Linked DNA regions of Pelodiscus sinensis. The protein of the gene in region 3 interacts with the protein of the main gene of each other region in a pairwise test. Links are inferred from orthologs where the notes say so. Each region holds a gene or a part of one and is shown on either strand. Other genes may lie near its edges.

Region 1 (7,658 bases), on a different chromosome or scaffold from region 3:
GAAAGTTTCAGTGGTTACATGGTTACATGCACCTGCAGCACAGGGCAGCAGATAGCACCCCAGAAGCCAGCTGATCGAGAGGCAACAGTACAAGAGTGGGAGTCAGTACGGTCCCTTGCTGGCCCCATGGCATTCAAAGTGGCACATGGAGCCCAGGGTCGGGGGTGGGGGAGAAGGGGAAGAGGGGGGAGTCCCCAGCTGAACCCAGGCTCCACACAGCACTGCCACCTTGAAATGCCACGTGTGGCCTGGCCCAGACTGCACGTGGCATTTCAAAGTGGCAGTAGAACATGGAGCTCAGGGTCTGGCCCCAGGATCCATGCGACTCCACTGCTTTGAAGCACCCGCTGCTCTCCCCCGTCCTGTTGCCTCTTTTTAATAGAGGCAGCCAGGGAGGGGAAGGGGGAAGCAACTAATGTGTCGACTATCTGATAAGCATTTGCATATCAGATAGTCAACTAGCTGTTCACATCCCTATTTTAGGATACATGCATATGAGATATCAATCCACAAGATTTTAGGTACACTCTATCCACTGATTGCTTGACATTACGAAAATACCTATGGCATGTTACTGCTTAATTGTCTGCTATAGATGTGTGAGTAGGGCTTACATATTCCTCTGAATCATCTAGTTTGTGGGATACAAGAATGGATTAATGAGACAATTCCTATCTTCTATTCTAAGAGTACGTCTAGACTACATTCCTTTCGAAAGAGGAATGCAAATGAGGGAAATAAAAATGCAAATGAAGGGCTAATTTCCAAATCTCGAGCTTCATTTGCATAATCTCTTTCAATTGCTTTCTTGGAAGAGATTTTTTTTTTTTTTGAAAGAAATGCAGTCTCAACGGGGTTCTTTCAAAAAACAAACAAACCCTTTTTCAAAAGAACCCTGTAAACCTCATTTTTTCAGGAATAAGGGTTCTTTCGAAAAAAGGTTTTTTTTTTTTAACCCCATCTAGACTGTTTCTTTCTTTTTTCCCCCCTGAAAAAAGTCTCCTCTGAAAAAGCGATCCGAGATTATGCAAATTAAATGGGATATTTGTAAATCAGCGCTTCATTTGCATTTTCAATTTCCCTCATTTGCATTCCTCTTTTGAAAGAGGAATGTAGTCTAGATGCGCCCTAAGTGACTGACTGATTTAGGTGCAGCATTCATAAGCTCCATAGGAAGCCCAACCATCAGCTGGAGAGAGTTACAGTGTTAAGTCACATATCTGAGCATGTCAGAGACACAAAGGAGTTTTCCTTTTCTATCTTCACCTGCCAAATACCCACCATCCTGAAGGTAAAACAGTTATGAAAAATATTACTTCAATTGTATCTTACCATTGTAGTTGAAGCCAGGGTTTCCAAATGGCAGATGAAATATTTAAGAGTTTTGGTGCAGTAGGCAAACAATCATATTTTTAGGGTCACGTGAGGTACTGTAAAGTTTGAGAGGAAAGGAGAAATACAATTACCAGCTAAGTTAAACAAGCAATACTGTTATTTAAACTGAATATTTTAATGGCAGATTATATTGACTTTATTTACATAGATAGACTCTAATTCACTAATAAAGTAGTCACCATTGACACCTGTTATCCTGCAAATGAAGCATAGCCACTCCATATCAACACAACTACTCAAGAGTAAGACAAAAATCAATCAAAATAAACTACACGGCCAAATGCAATTACCCATACCTGCGGTGTCTTGGCAGAATACCATAGCACTTATGTCTCTGACAGAGTAAATATCCCATTTTACTCTAATAGAATGATCAGGACATTTATTTTATGTATCAAAGAGCCAGCTCTGATTTTATGTATTATTTGAAAAACAGCAACTCTACCAACAATACTTCCTCACACCATTTTGAGATGGTAAAAACTACCAACCACTGAGGTGCTAACAATTTTACTCAGCACAAGACCTCCTTAGACACTAATCAAGTCTAGCAATATTTTACTTTTGAATTAAATAAGATAAAGAAATTGTAAAGTCTATTAATACAATTACTTACCTATACATTTTTAAAATCCTGTTTACTTTTTACTAATTGTGTTCCATTTCCTTTCAGACTCTCTCAAAGAGGAGACTTGAAAGTCCCTGGATATCAGTTTTGTTTCTTAATGTTGCATTTCAAAACACTGCAGGAAAGCAATTTAACTATTTCCAAGGGTTTTTATTTTGAAACATGGAAACATTTTCTACCCATTTTAGATCCCACACAGTTTTTTAATACACATTTTAAATGACGGGTTATATTTAATTTGCCAAGTATCTCTCTCTGTTACTAGCTATATACTAGCCAACCTCTTCCTTTAGAAATCTGTTTATTTTTTTTTATTTTTTTGGTTCTAGTTCTAGGGACACACTATCCGACAAGCAAGTGATGCTCCAACAGCGAAGCAACAACTCCGGCCTTTAGCCACTGGCCAGGATGTCACTTTCCAAGCTATGAGAAGAGACAATCTCTGGGGCCGAGACTCTGCAACTCACAGCCGCACACAGGCGAACAGGACCGGGGTGGTGGCAGCGCTTGGCCGCACTCGGAGCCAGATCGGCGGCACTGCCGGCGGGTGAAGGCCCTGGGACGGGATCGCGGGGAGCGGGTGGGCTGCAGGCAGCTTTAACCCAGGCCTTGCCAGGCCCCGCGGGGCCGAGGCCACCACTGGCAGCGGGGCCGTTGGCAGGTATCGGAGGCAGGCGCAGAGCCGGGAGAGCGATGAGAGCCGCCCAGGCGCCCCGGGGAGGGCCCAGGACCCAGCAGCCACTGGGAGGCCCAGAGGCCCGGCCCGGCCCCGGAGGGAGGGCGCCGACCCGAGAGGGGACGCGGAGGGTTACAGGCCACCTCACCCGGCGCCGGACACAAGCGCCCCCCTCCCCGTACCTGCCGGCCTCATGTCGGGTCCTGGCCCCCGCACAGCTGCCCCCGCGGCCCTTTCATCCGCCCCCCCCCAGCCCGCGGCCCCCGCGCGCGCCGCTGCTTCCGCTCCACCACTTCCGAATGCGGCCCGGAAGGGGCGGGAAGAGTTACCCTAGAAACCGGGGAGGGGTGAGGAGAAACCCTGCCCTGTTGCCACGGTGACCAAGCGCTGGTGGTGACCTCCGCCGGCTCCCCCGCCCCCTCGGAGAGCGCCTCCAGCGGCCGGGGCCGAGGCAGCGCTGGGGCCAGCCCTTATTTCCCTCCAGGCGTATCGAGCGTGGCGCGCAGGCGCCTACCCCTGCAGCTCCCCCGCGCGCCAGTGGGTCCCACACTAGCCTGCAGGCAGCCACCTCTGAGTTCCCGCTCTGCCACAGATACTTCCTGCCGCCTTGGGCACGTCTCCTAAACCCAGCTCTTAGGAGCCGAAGTGCCTTGGATGGTCCCTTTCTGGGCCTCAGTTCCCCATCAGTGGAACCCTTTCAATAGGGAACATGGACATAGCACTTCCCTACCTCACCGGCGCTGTGGGGGCAACTCTGTTAAAGGCTGTGATTAGCATAGTAAGGGTGACCATTTCAGTACCTAAAACGAAATCCAGGACAATGTAGCACTTTAAAGACTAACAAGATGGTTTATTAGATGATGAGCTTTCGTGGGCCAGACCCACTTCCTCAGATCAAACAGTGGAAGAAAATTGGCACAACCATATATACCAAAGGATACAATTTAAAAAAATGAACACATATGAAAAGGACAAATCACATTGCAGAACAGAAGGGGGATGGAGGGGGGGAAGGGGGGGAGGTAAATGTCTGTGAGCTAATAATATCTCTCCTGTGCGGCTGCACAAGTGCACGGCTTACAGGGAACACTAGGGTTTGGTTGTACTGGGGCTGGGGCCAGAGCTACCGTGTGGTAGGCAGCAACGGCAGCTCCAGAGGCCGGGAATGGGGACAGAGCCGCATGGCGGGTCGCTGCCCTGTTGAAGGGCCGACCTTATAATTGGGCAAATTGGGCCCATGCCCAGGGTACCATAGCCAGAGGGTGAGGGGCAACCGGGCATTGCTGGGAAAAGGGGGTGAAGGGTACTGGGTAGGGGGGCAGTGTGGCAGGACATGGGTTGGGGATTGGTGGCACAGCTGGGAGGAAAGTGTAGGGGTTGGGATGAAGGGAGCACTGTGCAGAAGTTAGAGGCAAAGGGGGCACAAGAATTCAATCATAAGAACATAGGAATGGCCATACTGGGTCAGACCAAAGGTCCATCCAGCCCAGTACCCTGTCTGCCGACAGTTGCCAATGCCAGGTGTCCCAGAGAGAGTGATCAAACAGGTAATGATGAAGCAATCTCTCTCCTACCATCCATCTCCACCCTCTGACAAACAGAGGCTGGGAACACCATTCCTTACCCATACTGGCTAATAGCCATTTATGGACTTAACCTCCATGAATGTATCTAGTTCTCTTTTAAACCCTGTTATAGTCCTAGCCTTCACAACCTCCTCAGGCAAGAAGTTCCACAGATTGACTATGTGCTGTGTGAAGAACTTCCTTTTATTTGTTTTAAACCTGCTGCCCATTAGTTTCATTTGGTGGCCCCTAGTTCTTATATTATGGGAACAAGTAAATAACATTTCCTTATTCACTTTCTCCACACCACTCATGATTTTATACCTGTTTACATTTAAATTCTCCAGTACAAACCCTGAAAATAGCTAGAATGCTGCATGGGTACAAAATCTGTATTTGCATCTGATACAAAATCCTCAAAAATGATCACAGATGCCTGTAGGTTCACAGGGCTTTAGGTATGAAATTTGATCTGCATCTATACATGATCTGCAAAAATGGTCTGTAGCTATCCACATCTGCAGATATCTCATATTCTCATTAGAGTTATCTTGCTGGTATGAAGATGATATCCATGGTTTTGCAGGCTCTACAAATAGCCATCTCTAAGCCAACAGGTGCAGCCAGTGGAGGCTGATGTTCAAGAACAGCTCCCATCATGATGCAGCATTCAGGCTAATGCTCATTCTGAGGCTGTGTCTACACTGCACCCCTTTTCTGGAAAAGGGATGCAGATGAGACAAGTCGGAATTGCAAATGAAGCGGGGATTTAAATTTTCCCCGCTTTATTTGTATTAACATGGCTGCTGCTTTTTTCCGGCTCAGGGCTTTGCCGGAAAAAAGCGCCAGTCTAGATGGGGATCTTTCGGAAAATAAAGCCTTTTCCGAAAGGTCCCTTATTCCTGATTTTAAGAGGAATAAGGGACCTTTCAGAAAAGGCTTTATTTTCTGAAAGATCCCCATCTAGACCAGCGCTTTTTTCCGGCAAAGCCCTGAGCCAGAAAAAAGCGGCAGCCATGTTTATACAAATGAAGCGGGGAAAATTTAAATCCCCGCTTCATTTGCAATTCCGACTTGTCTCCTTTGCATCCCTTTTCCGGAAAAGGGGTGCAGTGTAGACACAGCTTGAGAGTATGTCTACACTGCAGAGTTTTTTCAGAAAAACTGCTGTTTTTCCAAAAAAACCCTTCATTTACATCCACACTTCAATTGCGATCTTTCGGGAAAATAATCGAAATAACAGAGGGGTTTTTCTAACATTGGTAAACCTCTTTGTACGAGGAAGAAGCCTTTTTCCAAAAGGGCTCTTTCAGAAAAAGGCATCTGGGGATGGGGAAGAGGGAGTTCTTTCAAAAGAAGAGGAAAGAGGAAAAAGCACAGGTGCCCTCGTGGCCACTCTGTCCACAGCTTACCTGTGAGATAGCATCCATTCAGTGTGGGCAGATGCGCTTTGGCAGTGTGGATGCTCTCTTTCGGAAGAAGTTTTTTCGGAAGATGTCTTCCGGAAAAGCTTCTTCCGAAAGAAGCCCACAGTCTAGACACAGCTTGAGTCATTACTTGATGCAGTATGCTTGGTGTACATTGGTAAGGGTGGCAGATATTAATTGGCCGCAGGTGCTCCAAACAATGAGGATCTTTGTGCTGCTTGACTCCCTCATTGCAAGAGCCAGAAGCAGTGGGCTGGTCTCAGATTCCATTACAAATCAACTGATGACAGAGATGGAAAGTAATTTGTCTGTTTGCTTTACTTGAACATTTATGTTATATATAAGAGTACAACAAAGACAACAAACAAGATATAGCATAGTGCCGTGGTCACCAACCCGTCAATCACGATCGACCGGTCGATTGCGAGGCCTCGACCAGTCGATCGCAAGGCGTTGCGGGCCTCCTATTTCCCTCCACCACCAAGATGTCCCACTACCTACCTCTAGTGACAATGGAGGTAGTGGTGGCTTCCCGCTGGGTGGACGGAAGTCCTGAGCTGTGTGTCACTTTCAGGGGTTCCGGAAATGTGCTGGCTGCTTCCTTGCCCCAGGTCTTCCTTGCCCCAGGTGGAACGAGGTGTACAGATAGTTCGGAATAGGAAGCCTAGTCCGAACTATCTAGTTTGTGCCGCGTGTAGCCACGGGCACGGAGTCTGCACTAGCGGACATTTAAAAATGGCGGCGCCCGGCAACATGCAAATGAATCCCAGGAAATTCAAATCCTGGGCTTCATTTGCAAGTTCGTATGACTACATTAACCACCCTAGTTCGAACTAGGGTGGTAGTGTAGACATACCCTAACTGGGGGAGTCCCCAGAGGCACGCGCTGGGACTTCCTTGCTTCACGGGAGGGGGGAGTCGGGCCCATATGGGGCGCATGACAAGGGCTTCCCTGCTCTGTGGGAGAGCACGTCGGCCCAGCAGGAGGCGTGTGACAGGGCTTCCTTCCTCTGCAGGGGAGGGGGGAGTCCTGGGAGGAGGTAGGTGCAGGGCACCCTGTCCCCTGCTGTAGAACCCTGTCCCTTTTCCATCACTGGCACCCTGTCCCTGCTGCAGAACCCTGTCCCCTGCTGCAGAACCCTGTCCCCTGCCCTCCTGGCACCCTGTCCCCTCTCCCCTGCCTCCAGCCGCAGAACCCTGTCCCCACTGGCACCCTGTCCCTTGCCCCAGCACCCACTAGCACCCTTCCCCAGTACCATGTCCCCGGCTCCCACCAGCACTGTTGGGGCCACGTTAGTGAGGCTTCAGTGTTTTTAGAGGTGTTATTTTTTTGTATCTCACTTGTGTGGCCCTAACTGACTTTTCTGTGGTCAGTGACCCCTGACTCAAAACAGGTTCCCTGCCCTTCTCATAAATAAAGACAACGCAGAAACTTTTTGTGTTTGATATAATATTTTATTTAAAAATGAAGCCTGGCCAACAAACCCCCAATTGGGATGAAGCCCCCATCTGCCCACAGCATCATAACACTCCTGCACCCCCCTTTCCCTCAGACCCTAGATCTGAGCCTATCATACACTGGAACCCCTTGCCCTGAGCCCCGCACATACCTCAACCCAAATTCCTGTACCCTCACATCCACAAGCCTGTGGCTTGCTTAATACCCCAACCCTCCATCTGACCCAATACTGCCTGGCCTGGAGCTCCCTCCCAGAGCCAGCGTCCCCTTCTCCTCCTCTTCCTGCATCCAGATTTCCTCCCAGAGCTTGCACCTCTCACCCCTTCCCACACCCAAATCCCTCATTCCCACCCCAGAGCCTATTCATCCTGTCTCGACCCAGTGAGGGTCCAGCTAGACTGCAGGAATTTTTCAGGATTCCAGAGATATCCCAGAAAAACTTTTCTGCATCTAGGGATGCGTTTGTTCTTCTGCTTTTTTTAGTGGAAGAGCAAACACGCTCTTTCGG
Region 2 (6,867 bases), on a different chromosome or scaffold from region 3:
TCATTAGAAAAATCATAATTTATTCTATTTGTATAAAAAGTCATAATCATGTAACAAAACCATGTCTTCTTTCATAAGAAGAAATATATTATTTCACATCATAAATAAATCAGCAAACATACAACCCTTGGAAACTAAAAAAGCACTCATCTGGTGCTTTCATGTCAGTGCTTAGGAAGTGGGAACAGTTTAAGATGTGTTTACAGGATTACAGTACCCAAAAAATACTGAGGTATTTGGTTTCTTTAGAAATGAAACTTCAGGCTTGTAAAGGCAAGAACAATGCTTCTACATAAAATAAATAAACAGGACTTTTATATAAAATGGAACATAATCTCTGTTGCTTAGAATGTCCAGAAATGGGAATACTGGTGGGTATGCTACTGAACAAGGACTAGTCTTTTCAACCTGACAAAGGAGGAGTAATTCAGAAGAAGAAAACAGCATTCTGTGTTCTTTGTCTCCTTTGTAGACATCCAGATATTGGTCAAAAATATGCCAGCAAATTCAAGGAAGAACTAGCTCTCTGGAGTCACATCAGCCCCTTTGTGCTTGTGATAAGTTACTCTGAGATGGATGGAACCCCATGCGAACTCACATGACTGAAGACACTGTCCCCATGGTTATTGCACTTTTTAGACAAGAGTCAAGTTTTTGTATTCTGAATAAATGTTCCTCTATTCTTCAGCAGCTCGGAGAAGTGGTGATGGGACTCTGTAGATAGCTTAAAGCACTGGATGAAGGGTGTACAGGGATAGAGACTGGGAAGTTAAAGACTGTGGTGGTTGACGTTCCTCTGTCCAATACAGACATGGCAGGGCTTCCAGCCTCTGCGGAGCAGTTAGGGGCTAGGACTTGAGACTCAAACTGAAGCAGCTGCCCCATGAAACTGAAATTTGGGGAGATGATGCTTCTCCTCTGCTTCACAAATTCAAAGGCCTCGTCTAATTTGACTCGATTGGTCCTCATGAGATAAGCAAGGCAGATGGTTGCTGAGCGAGAGATGCCAGCCTGGCAGTGCACAAATACCCTTCCACCATCGTTTTTAACAGAATCTGAAATAATCAATTAAATGACATGGTTAATACATGGGTCCGGTTCCTCCAATGCTACAGAAACATGAGCTTTTATTTCTGAATTTGTTCTTTCCCCAGCACTCAAGGTGTGCATGGCACTTCAGACAAAGAGACACTTGTCCTGAGGTAAACAACCACCTAAGGATTTCTATCCCGAATAAAACTAATTCCAACGATACAAATAGTTTCTTTCAGCCTCTGACACTTGTTTGAAACAGTTATCACTGTTTTAGAAATCAAAACCTACTGGTGGAATACCAGGCTAAATTTACTAACTGCTTTATAAAGTCAAGAATCCTTTCAGCAGTTAGCAATACAGCCTCGTAGAGAGCACAGACCCAAATAAGATAGCTACAGATTTACTTCATGTTACTTTAATCCCTGAGGAAACAGCTTCCCATGTATTTTAAGATTAAACTGGGCTAGAGATTTCCACTGAGATCTCTACTTCAAGGGAAATGCAAGCTGATTCTCTGGAAGCACAGGCTGCAGAGAACACTCATTTACCTATGAAGTCGATGGCTTCGTTAAACCAGGAGCTGATGTCAGCCTTATGGTTGTCCTCCACTGGAATGCTTTTGTACTGGTAATGCCCCTCAAAATGGTTGGGGCAGTTTGCTGAGACATTGATTAAGGCGGTGATTCCCAAAGCATCCAACATGTCCTTTCTGGAGGCATGATAGGCACTGCCCAAGTAGAGAAATGGTAGGATTTCCACTGGCCCACCCTAAACAAGAAGAGACAAAGGAAGAGGATCAGATAATTGCACTGTGTGGTTTAAAGTAGCCTCTCTTCTTTTGCTATATGCAGGCAAGCAGACATTTGCTCTCTTCACTATCTTTTCTGTGTCTGAACATCACCTCTGGAGATGCCCAGCCTTAAGGGCTATAGTCAATTCAAATGACCCTTTCTTGTTTAGCAGGTTTCCTACTGACCTGGTCATAGAGCGGGGTTCCACAGGAGCTGCAGCCGGAATCCGCACTGCCAGGCATGCTGTTGGCACTCAGAGGCAGGCTCAGGCCCGTGGGAGCGGTTGGCTTGGTACACAGCTCAGCGCAGGCGGAAGAGAAGGCTTCGTACCCTCCTGGAATGGGGAGAGAAAACGGGGAAAGTCTTGTTAGCATTGGTGAGGCGTAAATGCCCTGTTCCCCCTGAGAACACACAGGCCAGATAGTGTCTGGCTGGCACAGTCTCCCCCTTCTCCCCCGCCCTGAGCGCTCCCCGGACTCACCCCTGAGGAAGCAGATGCGCGTGTTCCTGGCCTCCCTACAGAGAGTGTTCACGGCCAGCATAATGGTGCTGTCCCGCTTCGGCAGCTCCAGGTCCGAGCTGCGCTCGTCGAGCAGCACCACGGCTTGGTACCCGCCGCCGAGCAGGCGGCCCCGCAGCTCCTCGTTGGGGATGATGTGCTCCAGCCCCATGGCCCCCTTGGCCCGCCGCCGCACGATGGTGCTGAAGCGGACGTTGGCGGAGCCCAGGATGTGCGCGGAGTTGAAGGAGAAGAAGGAGCGGCAGTCCAGCACCAGGCACTGGGCAGCGCGGTCCTGCAGCAGCCCCCGCAGCGCCTCGCAATCCAGGGCGCACACTTGCATGTTGACCATCGCTCGGAGCGCGGCGCGGGCGGGCAGGGTCCGGGTCCCCAAACGCAGGAGCGGGGAGGTGGGGGAGGACGGGCGGTGGGTCTCTTTCGAGGTCCAAGGGCGGGTCCCCTTTGTGTGAGCGCGGGGGCGGCTTCCTCTCCCGGCTCCTTTGTTGCTTCTCGGGGCGCTTTTTACAAACCAACCGCGCGGCGCGTCTCGGCAATTTCTTGTGTGTAATTCGGCCCGCACAGGCAGAGTCCGGGTCCGAGGGGAAGCGCCTCTGACTGCAATGGAGGCTGGGTCCGCGAGTGCTCTGTGTGCCCCCTTCTTGCTCCCGCTGTTCACAGGGTCCTGGCGGGCTGCAGCGCGCGCGCGGCCTTTTATAGGCTCCGCGGCGGAGCGGCCTGCCCCTTTTTTGTGAATGAGCCTGGGTCACCTGACTGCTTCAGACTGACGTCACTCGGAGGGGCGTAGGGCAGACACTCCCTTGCCCGGGAGCACTCACGTCATCGGCTCGCCAGCAGTCGCTGGAGTGCAAACTGCAGACACACACACACACACACCTTCCATCCTGAGCCGGCAGGAAATCGACTGATGCAACCCTGCGCGCTGCAACGCCACGGGCAGCAGCCACCGGGCCCCTCGGCACACAATGTACAGCGGAAAGCCGAAGAACATACACGCGCTTTGTTCATCTTTTTGTTCCGCAGTCTCTTATCGGGTCGGTGTGTGAGGATTCACACACACTCCCCTCAGGCCTGGTGTGATGCCGTGGCTAGGCACAGTCGCTCTCGAACTGCCCTCTGCTGGGTGGAATTAGAGCTCTTCCACTCAGTGCCATAGACCCCACACTGGTAAGAAGCTAAGTGAGGTTCCTTTAAAGCACAAGTAATAGTGATTCCTCCTTTCTTCAAAACAATATTAGTTCATGTCCATATTCCTTTATAGCTGTAGTGTCCAACCAGTTCTGAAGCAGTAGCCACTGCAGTAGCTATTGCTAAAGCGAACTAACCACACTCAAGTGGCTAAATTGCCAAATGTGGCTAGTGTGGTGGAGACCACAGCTTTATAGAATAGGAATATGATTGCCAGCACAGATTCTTCATCTTATGTCTCTTTAGGCTTATACACACATACCCCTACTGACATTTACTTTAGGCTTACACACACACATCACATACTGACATACATCTGGCATGTGAAAGGAGTATTCAGAAAAACATTACAGGGTGGTGAGAAGAGGAATGGGCAATTTTTAAATATATATTTGAGGTTCCTAAGAAAGAGGGGGTGTGTATATATGCAGAGGAATATTTCCTGTATTTTGTATGAAAGAAAAAACAATGTAACTAAACTCTAGTCCTGGGACTGTATTCTTTGCATACTCAAAATTCCCACTGAAATCAGGGCTACGAAATAACTGGCAGTAGAGTTTTTTTCCCCCCTTCACCAATTAGTAAGGCTTCCCAAAAGTTACTTTTCCCTGTGGGTGATCAGCTTTTATCAACCCACTGGAGTATTTCTTGCTCAGAGCTTCCCATCACAGTTATTTTCACTTCCCCGTCCTCGGTGCCTGATTTTTATGTAGTCTCACAGCCTGTCTTTCCCTTCTCTGTGTATTCTCTCTCTGTCTCTGTTATTACCCATGGGGAAGAAGGCTCCCCTGGGGTGCACCCTTACCTTGAAATAAGATATGTAAATTGTGTAGCTTATTTTGAGGTAATTTTGAAATAGCTTATTTTTAAACTTGGTGCCATCTACCCCGTGCCTAATTTCAAAATAAAGTGCTATTCTGACAAGTCCCTTAACCCTTGTGGAACAAGGATTACAGGGACGCTGGAATAGTGTGTCCATTATTTCAAAATATATTTTGAAATGACGGGCATGTTTAAAAATGTGGAATTGCTATTTCGGGATACTTTCGGTATCCCAAAATAGCGCTGCTGTCTAGATGTAGAGCAAATCTCTCTGGAGTCCCTTTTCCCTATTGGCCATTCATTGTGACTCCTGCTTCTCCCGTCCTCTTACCTCCATACTACTGCTTTTTCCTTCTCTGCCTTATAGGCAGCAGTATTCTCTTACCATCCTTCTTCTCTAGCTACATCTTTCAACACAAACTTTCCCTGTTCTCATTTCCTCTAATACCCTCAAATTGCTTTGGGGAAGCCTCTCACACTTTCTAAACCCCAGACTGCCACAATTTTCTGGGACTTTCCAGAGCCTTCTGCACTGGCTCCTGACAAACTATTAGTGACCAGCTGCTTCAGAATGTTCCAGAACCTCCTCTGTAACTCCCTGTCAATCCATAAACAAAAAAGGGCTCTACAACCTTCTCAACTTCCCTGCTGATCTGTATCTGACCAAGTGCCCCACAGCATCCAGACCTTTCTCCCCCAGACAACTGACTAATTGCCAGTCTGAAACTGATTAACTGATTGTGCAATTGCCTCCATTCTGCCAAACCATGACTCCTCTGCCAAAGCTGAAGATTCAAAGCAAATCTGTTTTTTTCCTTAAAAATAAAAACAGGGTTGCACTTTTTCATTTCTGTTTATTTATTATTGCTATTTTAACAACACCATGACTTAAACACAGATTGTGTGTGAAGGATTCATATGTTCCAATGGTTGATGTTCCAGCCCTCTATCAGCTACTCAGTTACTAGAACCATGGAGGCAGCGTACAACACATCATTTCCAGTGAATCATTAATGCCCAAGAAGCATGATCAGTGAAATATTCTGCTCACAGTTAAGTGGCTATTTGATCAGAATAGGTCACATAATCTGTTGTATGTGCTGCATACAATGTTGACATTAGCAAGGTTATTATTTATAAACCTCACTCTGCACAATACTCCAATTCAAATTTTAATGACCATGTATTCACAATCTGCTCTTTTAGGGGAATAATAATAATGATAATTATCAAGAATAAATTTAGTAATAGTCTTTTCACAAAAAACAAAACCCACTGTTATGTCCCCCATGCTTTTATGAAAATTGGCTTATGAGTATACTTAACTCAGACACTCTAAAATATCTCATGTAACATCAATTTTAAAGTTACAGTCTGCTGAATCTGTATATTTTAATTTTTTGCATGTATCATTCTTGTATGTGAAGTTAGAAATATGAAATGTGAATCTGGTTTTAAATCTGAATGTGCTAATAAGGGCCATTACTGATGCTGTGGAAACATAATGGCTCAGTATTCAAACCAACAACCCACGAATGGCTTATTCTTCTTAAAAGCCCAAATTGTGGTTGGTCATAGGACTTGTGGCCAGGCCACGTGATGCTGAAACCCATTTTGGACCCTGTACTTTTCCACTCAAGGTGAGAAAAGTTTGAACTTGTATGATTACAGAATTCACGCCTTGGGCAAAAAGGGTATGGGGTGAGGGAAATCAAACAAAAGGGGCAGATGCCAGGAGATGCCACTTACCACCTAACATGCCTGTTCGGAAACATCTAAGATCGAGTAGGGGTGAAGAATCCTAGGCCCAACCTAGGAGGCTGCTTAGCTTGTGAAAGATGTTTAGAACAACTGTTTAGGGTAATAATTTTCATGTCGAGTATATTTAGTATTTTTGAATTGTTTATTTAAACTTAGTAACTTGCTTTGATCTGACTGTTTTCATTGTAATCACTTAAATCCTACATTTTGTACTTCATAAAACATTTTTGTTTATCATCAAGCCCAGAGTAAATAATTGTTACTGGAGGGGAAGGGGGGGGGGAAGAAACTATCACTGTGCATACCTCTTTCATAGATAAAGAGGCAAGCATCTTTATGAGCTTTCTCTGTGTGAAACTTTGGTAAAAAACTGATTTATTTGGGCTTTTGGTCCCTTTTGTGGTTTGGTTTCCTGGATACTGAGTTCTTATAGCCAAGCTCCTGGAGCTGAGCTGGTTCAGCATCTCTGTTGCTCTGCAGAGGGCAGTAACCCCAACTCTGTGCCTTGGATGGGGCAGACACAGGGTCTTGCCCAGCAGGACAGTGTGGTAGAGAGTCCCAAAGGGCAGGAAAGCAGACATTAGAGGCATGATCAGCACACCCAAGGGGGTTTCTGTAGTCTAATCCACAACCACTCAAGAAAGAATAGGCCAAGAACTGAGGCCCTTAGAGAATTGTCTTGGCAGAATTCCTACTTACTGCATATACAAGTAAATACTCAAAAATCATTTCAGGGAGGAGAAAGGTGGAATG
Region 3 (7,712 bases):
TCTCACCCCACCCCACCCCACACGTACTCCCTGCAGCCATGTCCGAGTGGCCCAGAGTGCTGGCGCACGCACTGTCGGGCCACTGTCGTGCTGCTCGCCCTCCTCCCTGAGACGGTGGCGCTTCAGCGGGAGTGCGGGGCTCGGATGCCCCGTCACAGGATGATAGTGCTTTGATTCTTGCTATTCTGATGAAAGTAGAAATCTGAACATCGTAAAATCCTTGAAAACTGGGGCAAAAAACAATTTTAGTCACCTAGTCCATCTATCAAGGGAACAGTCCAATGTGTTTCCTGTACTATGTTCTGTAATATGGGAATGGCAGACTAATGGATGTCAGACTTAATGTTCTTAAGAATGTAAGTACAGCCATACTAGGATTAGACTAATGGTCCAGGTTAGGGATGTAATAGTGTAGTCGATTAACCGATTAATCAATAAGCACAAGCTTACAGATTAATGCTATAGACTACACGCATTTCCCTCTCCCATTCCCTTGCAAGTAAATATTTTAGCAGGCTGGCCAGCAGCCCAGCTCAGTCCTGGCTCACGCCGGGTCCGGGACCTAACCCTCCTGTGGCTCTTCATTTAAAGTATATTACGAGTCAGGCAGCCCAACTTAGTTCTGGCTTGTGCTGTGTCCAGGCGCTCCGACCCCCCTAGATAGGGTCTGCTGCTACCCCAAGCTGCTGTGGACCAGTTCCTGCCTGGCACCTCGTGCTGCTGCCTCTGATACAGAGGTTGCCAGCCCCGCCAGCAAGGGGACTATTGACTAGTTGACTACCCGATAAGAATTCATGAGGTTACTCGACTATTCAATTAACCGATATTTAACATCCCTAGTCCATGTAAACCTAATACCTTGTCCTCTAACAGTAATCAGTGCTAGATGCTTTGGAAGGAGTGAACAGAACCAAGTAGGTCTGCTGTCGAGTGGTGGTGGTGGCAGCAAAGGGCAACTGCTCTCAGGCCCAGTGATTCAAAAGAGCCTGGGACTTCCAGCCACCGCTGCCACAGCAGCATCCAGAGCCCTGGACGCTTTAAATCGCCACTGGAGCGCCCAGGTGGCATATAAGTCCGGAATGGGAAGAACAGGCTGGGGTTATATTAACTGATACTGAATGTGCATACTCACCTTACCCATCCTAGCAGGAATATCACAGTGCAGCAACACAGCTACAGAGTAAGGCAGAAGGAAGGTAGTACAAGTTCTGCCATACTCTTAGGAAATCTTATCTCTAGTCGGGAACTGAACGTGGTACTTGAGAGAATTTAAACAAAATAGCAAACACAATTGCCAGAAAAAAACCAGTGTAACTTTTTGTCTGTGGCTGCCAGCTAGGATTGAAGGAAGGTGCAGAGGAGTCTGAAACAATTAGCAGAATCCATCCACACTATGCAGAGGTACTCCATTATCACAACGGTGAAATGAACAGACTATTGTGGTTTGTTGGAAGCGACTCTCCCAGTGCTGTGGTAAGCTTGACTCACATGGCCTTAGACGTGGGTGACCCCCTGCACACTATCATTTGGGGTAGGGGTGAGGAACCTTTTTTGGGTCGGGGGCTGGTGACCTACAGAAAATTTAGTGGGTGAAAAGTGCAAATCTCCACCCAACTCTCACTGACATGGCCCCCAAATGAGAAGCAGAAAGACACTCCCCACATCCTCCTCACACGCCAGAGCCTAAGGGGGGTCCAGGCTAGTAGATTTTGTGTGCTCAAGCCCTGTGGTGAGGTGGTAGGGATGGGGGGGGGGAGGCAGGGGTAGAGTGCTAGTGTGGTCACCCCAGTGCTGGGGGCAGGAAGGGAGTCATGAGCCAAGGGGGCTGGATTCATACAATCTGGGGGCTGCATCCTGCCCCCAGGTTCCCCACCCCTGATTTGTGGGCACTAAATCTTCCATTCAGAAGTCACATATCCTTGTTTGGTGTATGTGTTTTTCTCAACACTTTTGCTTGATGACTTTTGTTTTGTTTTGCTTGGTTGTTTGGAGGGCCACAAAAACATTTTCCATCTTGGGTGGCAAACACATACAGCAGTCTCTGCTTAGCTGCTCCAAACACAGAGCACTGGTTTGGCACTTTGATTCGGTTTGTATCAGTCCCCTCTGTGTTTTTGTACTGAGCTGTGGGCAGCAGGAGGGTCAGTAGTTGCGTTTAGATTGGTACCTGACCAGGCTCCTCAGCTTCTTCATATCTGCTAAATAATTCCTGGCATATTACTCACCGGCAGTGTACCCTTCGTTGGACTCGGGGGAATATGAAGTCCCTGTTCCTTAGGGAGGGTGTGTTTCTCTCATAGTTCTTTTGAAAGTGCTCCTCAGTGTATATGCCTCTCTTGATTTTGTACTTCCCTAGCTGCCTGGGAGCACTGACAGTCTCAGCATCTGGCTCCATGCAGTCACCCTGATCATGGACAGTCAAAAACACAGGAATAATGAAGGCAAGAGGAAGGAATCAAAGCCACTGACATTACCCATGACACTGAAGATAAAAAGGAGGGTCATTGAACTGGAGTGTCCCATTGAAAAGAAATGTTTAAATGACTAAGCCCAGGGAAAAATCCATCTCTGATGTAACTCCATCTGAGAAGGGTGCTGAAACAATTTGTACAAGGGGGGGGGGGTTCTTCTGAGAGCCATTGAACCACACTGTGACGCCTGTAATGGCCACCACTTCAAACCTGGCGGTGCAGCATCACCAGCACTTGTGCACCCACGCCGCGGGTGTCATGCCAGGGCAGTGTGGCCGGGAGGTCCTCTGTCCACGGAGCAATGGTGGCATAAGTGGCAGTGGTGTTAGCTCCCCCTCTGCTGTTGCAGCCCCCAGGGCCACTTCATTGGGGGTCACAGGACTCCTGTCCACAGATCCCTGTGGCCGGGCAGCTCTACAAAGGGACTGGGGGGCACTGACCCCGGCTCCCTGCCGGCCCCCCCCACTGGCCCGGCCCTGGGCGGGGACAAACTCCGCGCATGCTGCCGGGAACAGGGGACCCCCGCGCTCACCTGCGGCAGCCTGAGCTTCGAGACACGCGGGGCCGCCGGGCCTGGCCAACTGCCAACCCCGGGGCGGGGCGCGCGGTGCTCGGGATACTCCCCCCGCTCCTCCGCGGCGGCCAGACCCCCCCCCCATGGAGCGCCCGGCTCCGCTCCCCCCAGCGCCACGGGGAGCCCGGTCTGACCCCCCCCTCGGGGCTGTGCACTGGGTAGCGGGATGAATGGACACGTACCCGCTGCACGCCGCGGCGCGTAACGCACCAACCAGCCACCCCCCAGCCGGTGTTTTAATGCCCCCTCGCAACGCAGGTCGTGGGTGTCGGCTGCACCCCCCCCCCCTTTTCCAAGCCGCGGGGTGACTGCGGGGCCCAGCCACCCGGGGAAACGTGCACGAGAGAAACACAGGAACGGGGACTGCACCCCCCCCCCCCCCCCCGCGTCCAACCAAGGGGGCGCTGCGCTCAGCCGCTGCGGGGCCGTCCAGGGAGGCGCGTCCGTCTGGGGCAACAGCGCCTCTAAGCGTCCTCCCCGCCTGCCCAGGGAAATCCAGCGGGGTCCAGGCGAGGCCCCCGCCCGTGACCGGCAGCCTGGCCCCGTGACAGTCCCCCCGCTGGTGCCTGACTGAGCGCGGGCCTGTTCTCAGCACAGGCCGAAGCCCCACGGACTTGAACAGGGGCCTGCAGCCCAGCCCGTAGCAAGGTGCGGGCGTGAGAACTGCCCCCCCCCCCCCCAAGGCAGGGGCACAGTGCCCAGAAGGGGACACGGCAGACACACTGGGGCAGTGGCAGTGCCCCCCCAGGCAGAAGCAGGGGCACAGTGCCCCCCCCAAGGCAGGGGCGGGCGGGAGGCGGCAGACACACTGGGGCAGGGGCAGTACCCCCCCCAGGCAGAGGCAGGGGCGGGGACGTGTCCCCCCCCAGGCAGAGGCAGAGTACCCCCCCCCCGGCAGAGACAGGGGCACAGTGCCCAGAAGGGGACACAGCAGACACACTGGGGCAGTGGCAGTGCCCCCCCCCAGGCAGAGACAAGGGCACAGTGCCCCCCCAGGCAGAGGCAGGGGCACAGTGCCCCCCCCAGGCAGAGGCACAGTGCCCCCCCCAGGCAGGGGCACAGTGCCCCCCCCAGGCAGGGGCACAGTGCCCCCCCCAGGCAGGGGCACAGTGCCCCCCCCAGGCAGAGGCACAGTGCCCCCCCCAGGCAGGGGCAGAGTGCCCCCCCAGGCAGGGGCAGGGGCACAGTGCCCCCCCCCCCAGGCAGGGGCAGGGGCAGAGTGCCCCCCCAGGCAGGGGCAGGGGCAGAGTGCCCCCCCCGGCAGAGGCAGGGGCACAGTGCCCCCCCCGGCAGAGGCAGAGGCACAGTGCCCCCCCCGGCAGAGGCAGGGGCACAGTGCCCCCCCCAGCAGAGGCGGGCGGGAGGGGACGCGGCAGACACACTGGGGCAGGGGCGGGCACTGGCTCTGCACGGCCGCGGGGACGTGGCCAGCCGCCAGGGCTGGGCAGCCAGGCCGGGCCCCGCGCCAGCGTCCTCCCCTGCGGCCAGGCCGCGCGGCTCTGCCTCGCTCCGCCCCCCGCCGGGTCGCGGGTCGCTCTCGCGAGACAGGAGCGCCCGGCCGCTGGTTCCATATTGGGTCATAGCCGCTCTTCGCGCCTAGGCTCTCGCGAGGCGGGGCCAGGGGAGGGGGCGCGATCGATTGGTCTGCGCTCCGGGAGGAGCAGGCGGCGCCGCCTGACGCAGCCTGGGCAGTGCCACTGGGCCGGGAGGGGGAGGTCACTCCGGCATCGCCCGCGTCGCCTGCCCTGGTCTGTTTGTGAGAGGAGTCCCCCCCCCCCCCCCGCCACCAACTCACATCTGGTGCCTTTAAGGACCCCCCCCCTTTCCTCCCGTCCACGCGCTGTCCCGCCCCGTGGGGTGACAGCGCCGCGGGGCGCGTGAGGAGAATCCCAGCCCAGCTAGCGCGAGACAGCCCCGGGCGCCGCTGCACGAGACACCCCCCGGCCCGGGGCGCGCGGAGGCTGCCAACGGGGCCCGGCCCGGGCCGTGCTGAGGGAGCTCGGAGCGGGGGGGGGGAGGGGAGGTGCAGACCTGTCCCCTCTCTAGGGGGCAGGGGAGGAGGCGTCCCTGCTGGGGCCGCTGGCGGAGTCCCCCCTCCCGCCTGGCCGGGCGGGGCGGGCCGCGGAGCCGCGATGACTCTGGAGCGGCCCAAGTTCTACCGGCAGGAGCTGAACAAGACGGTCTGGGAGGTGCCCGAGCGCTACCAGAACCTGTCCCCGGTGGGCTCCGGGGCCTACGGCTCCGTCTGGTGAGTGTGTGGGGGGGTGTCTGCCAGCCTGAGCTGCACCCCTTCCTCAGCGGGCTCCGCTCTCGGCCTGGGGGGGTAGGGAGTCTGGCCTGGCTTCTCCCCCGCTCCTGCATGCCGGCGGGCGGTGCACGTGCAGGGCGCTGAATGAGTTGAAGGGGAGCTGGGGGGGACCCCCTCAGCTCGGGGGGGGACCCCCTCAGCTCGGGGGGGGACCCCCTCAGCTCGCTGGGGTTCATTCCCCGCCTTCTGCCCCCGGTCTGATTGAATCGGCCTTGCCCACGGGGGATTTTCATCCCTGGGTTAGTGGAGAAACCGCTGCAGAACTAGTGTCTGGCTGGTGCTGTGCCCCAGATGGCACCGCATGACAGGGGCTGGTAAACGCAATTTCAGAGTCTTGTCTAATATTCCCTCTAGTCTTTTCTGTTCATGGACCATTTTTTCTAACCATGAGCTGAATAAATTTGTATGTGAACCAAGACATGTAGAAGTGGTGAGGGAGCTCGGAGGCGGCCCGAGGTCCCCTGAGGGGAGGTGCAGACCTGTCCCCTCTCTAGGTCCCTAAGTCCCCATCACATCATTGGAAACAAAACCTAGCTGTAAGCACTGTGAATCAGCTCATTGGCATTGAATCTCTTTAGTACAGTTTACAGGGAACACTCCTCTTGTCCCCCTTTTCCTCCAGGATATTAATGCACAAACTTTCCTCCTCCCCCACTTGAGTTACTGAAAGGTGGAGTGTGCCAAATCCCTGCAATTTGCTTTGTAGAACAGGATGACAGTTTCATCTTGGAGCTGCAGAACAAGTTGCATTTGGGGTAACTTTAAAGAGTGATTGGTTGTTATGTGACAATGAGATGGTGGAAAAGGTTGTGAGGTTCTCTTTTTTGCCTTGCCAGCAGTGCTTTTACAGGTAACAATTGGGCATGGGAGGTTAACAGAGGGGAAATTTTGTGGTCTTTCCTGATTGAGAAAATTAGGCATTAGTCCTGCTGTCAGATCTGTGAAAGCGTGGACATAACCCCAAAGAAAAATATTCTGGTCTTTAATCCTTAGTTAAACTAATACAGATAAGATGTGTATAACCAATACACACAAGACGTGTATCTATAGTTTGAATTGCTTGTAATTACAGCAGCATAATCAAAGATGCTGAGCTCCCATGGTATATCAAGTATTTTTGCTCATTTGCTAATGCAACAGTACTTATTAGTTTTGTTCTTCAATAATATAAAAAAAGAAATGAGTTGATCTACTTGACTATCCTCAGTGGTGTTGTCAAATCACAGTGATGCATGAAAGCTTTTTTAGGTGGCTTTACCGTTTTTTAAAAGATACATTAATGCTGTATGAACACATATAGTGTCTAAAGTTTTTCACCCACTATGTCAAACCCCGATAAAGATTTTGTAATAGTGCTTCCACACAATGGTCTCCTAATTTGTGATGTGAGCATGCATTAATGAAGTTATATGCAATTTGTAAATTTATACCTATAGTGCAGGGCTCACAATAAATATGAATGAAGAAAAGTAATTGCTATGTATATATTGTAGCTTTAAAAAAACCTGTCAGATGTTTGCTTTTAAAAAAGGCTGATTATATTCTACAATATTGTTCCATTTAAATAAGATCTATTAAAACTGCTTTGTTTGTAGTAAAGTATATTAAGCATTTGTCTTTTATACTTTGTATAAAGGTTAAACAGGTTCTAGCAGCATGAATAATTGGTATGACAGCTGACTAACCGAATGCATTCCCCCTAAATTTTTGGTATAGAAATGCTAAGTGTAATTGTAGTACAGGCAGTCCCCGGGTTACATGGATCCGACTTACATCGGATCCCTACTTACAAATGGGGTGAGGCAACCCCGCACTAGCTGCTTCCCCCCCAGCAGACCAGGGAGACGCGAAGCTAGCCCCGCCCCCCCAGCAGATCAGGGAGATGCGGAGCGGCTTTTCTCAGCAGACACCTCAGCTTGAGAATAAAGGATTGAGGGAAGTGAGGTGTGGGAGAATAAAACTGAGCTCTGGAGAAATGTTTGGCTAGAGTTTCCCCTACAATATGTACCAGTTCCGACTTACATACAAATTCAACTTAAGAACAAACCTACAGTCCCTATCTTGTACGTAACCCGGGGACTGCCTGTACTGTACTAAGATAAGAGCTTGACCTTGCTGGTTGATGATTATTTCCTGAGATGATGAGTTGAGGGTGCTCAGTGCCTTGCAGCAGGGTCAACACTAGAAATATAATGAGCAAGATCTCCTCCTACTTCCAAACCCCCATTGTGCTTTCAAAAAAAAAATGCTTGCATTACTTAAAAATATTTCCTTCCATTACCCATATAACATAAGGATTTGCATCATTAACTTCCTGTTTCAGAGTGTCGGAACCTTCAGAGATTGTGCAATTGCATTA

The links. The genes of interacting proteins can lie anywhere in the genome.
Region 1: the proteins of MAPK14 (region 3) and SUPT20H interact in binary tests that used the Homo sapiens proteins (3 or more experiments, as listed by UniProt). The link is inferred for Pelodiscus sinensis from reciprocal best matches to the Homo sapiens genes MAPK14 and SUPT20H.
Region 2: the proteins of MAPK14 (region 3) and DUSP1 interact in binary tests that used the Homo sapiens proteins (3 or more experiments, as listed by UniProt). The link is inferred for Pelodiscus sinensis from reciprocal best matches to the Homo sapiens genes MAPK14 and DUSP1.

What each region holds. Positions count from the first base shown.
Region 1 is NC_134711.1:294,784,931-294,792,588, reverse strand, and holds the start of SUPT20H (transcription factor SPT20 homolog), read right to left. Parts: upstream 3,018-7,658; 5' UTR 2,882-3,017; intron 2,139-2,881; exon of another isoform or gene 2,012-2,138; intron 1,431-2,011; 5' UTR 1,336-1,430; coding exon 1,333-1,335; intron 1-1,332. UniProt on the Homo sapiens protein: Required for MAP kinase p38 (MAPK11, MAPK12, MAPK13 and/or MAPK14) activation during gastrulation.
Region 2 is NC_134727.1:18,126,214-18,133,080, forward strand, and holds the start of DUSP1 (dual specificity protein phosphatase 1), read right to left. Parts: upstream 3,018-6,867; 5' UTR 2,678-3,017; coding exon 2,308-2,677; intron 2,161-2,307; coding exon 2,012-2,160; intron 1,804-2,011; coding exon 1,584-1,803; intron 1,056-1,583; coding exon 685-1,055; 3' UTR 1-684. UniProt on the Homo sapiens protein: Dual specificity phosphatase that dephosphorylates MAP kinase MAPK1/ERK2 on both 'Thr-183' and 'Tyr-185', regulating its activity during the meiotic cell cycle.
Region 3 is NC_134737.1:12,871,679-12,879,390, forward strand, and holds the start of MAPK14 (mitogen-activated protein kinase 14), read left to right. Parts: upstream 1-4,696; 5' UTR 4,697-5,177; coding exon 5,178-5,293; intron 5,294-7,712. Other genes in the region: SLC26A8 (testis anion transporter 1), read right to left, coding at 2,226-2,395. UniProt on the Homo sapiens protein: Serine/threonine kinase which acts as an essential component of the MAP kinase signal transduction pathway.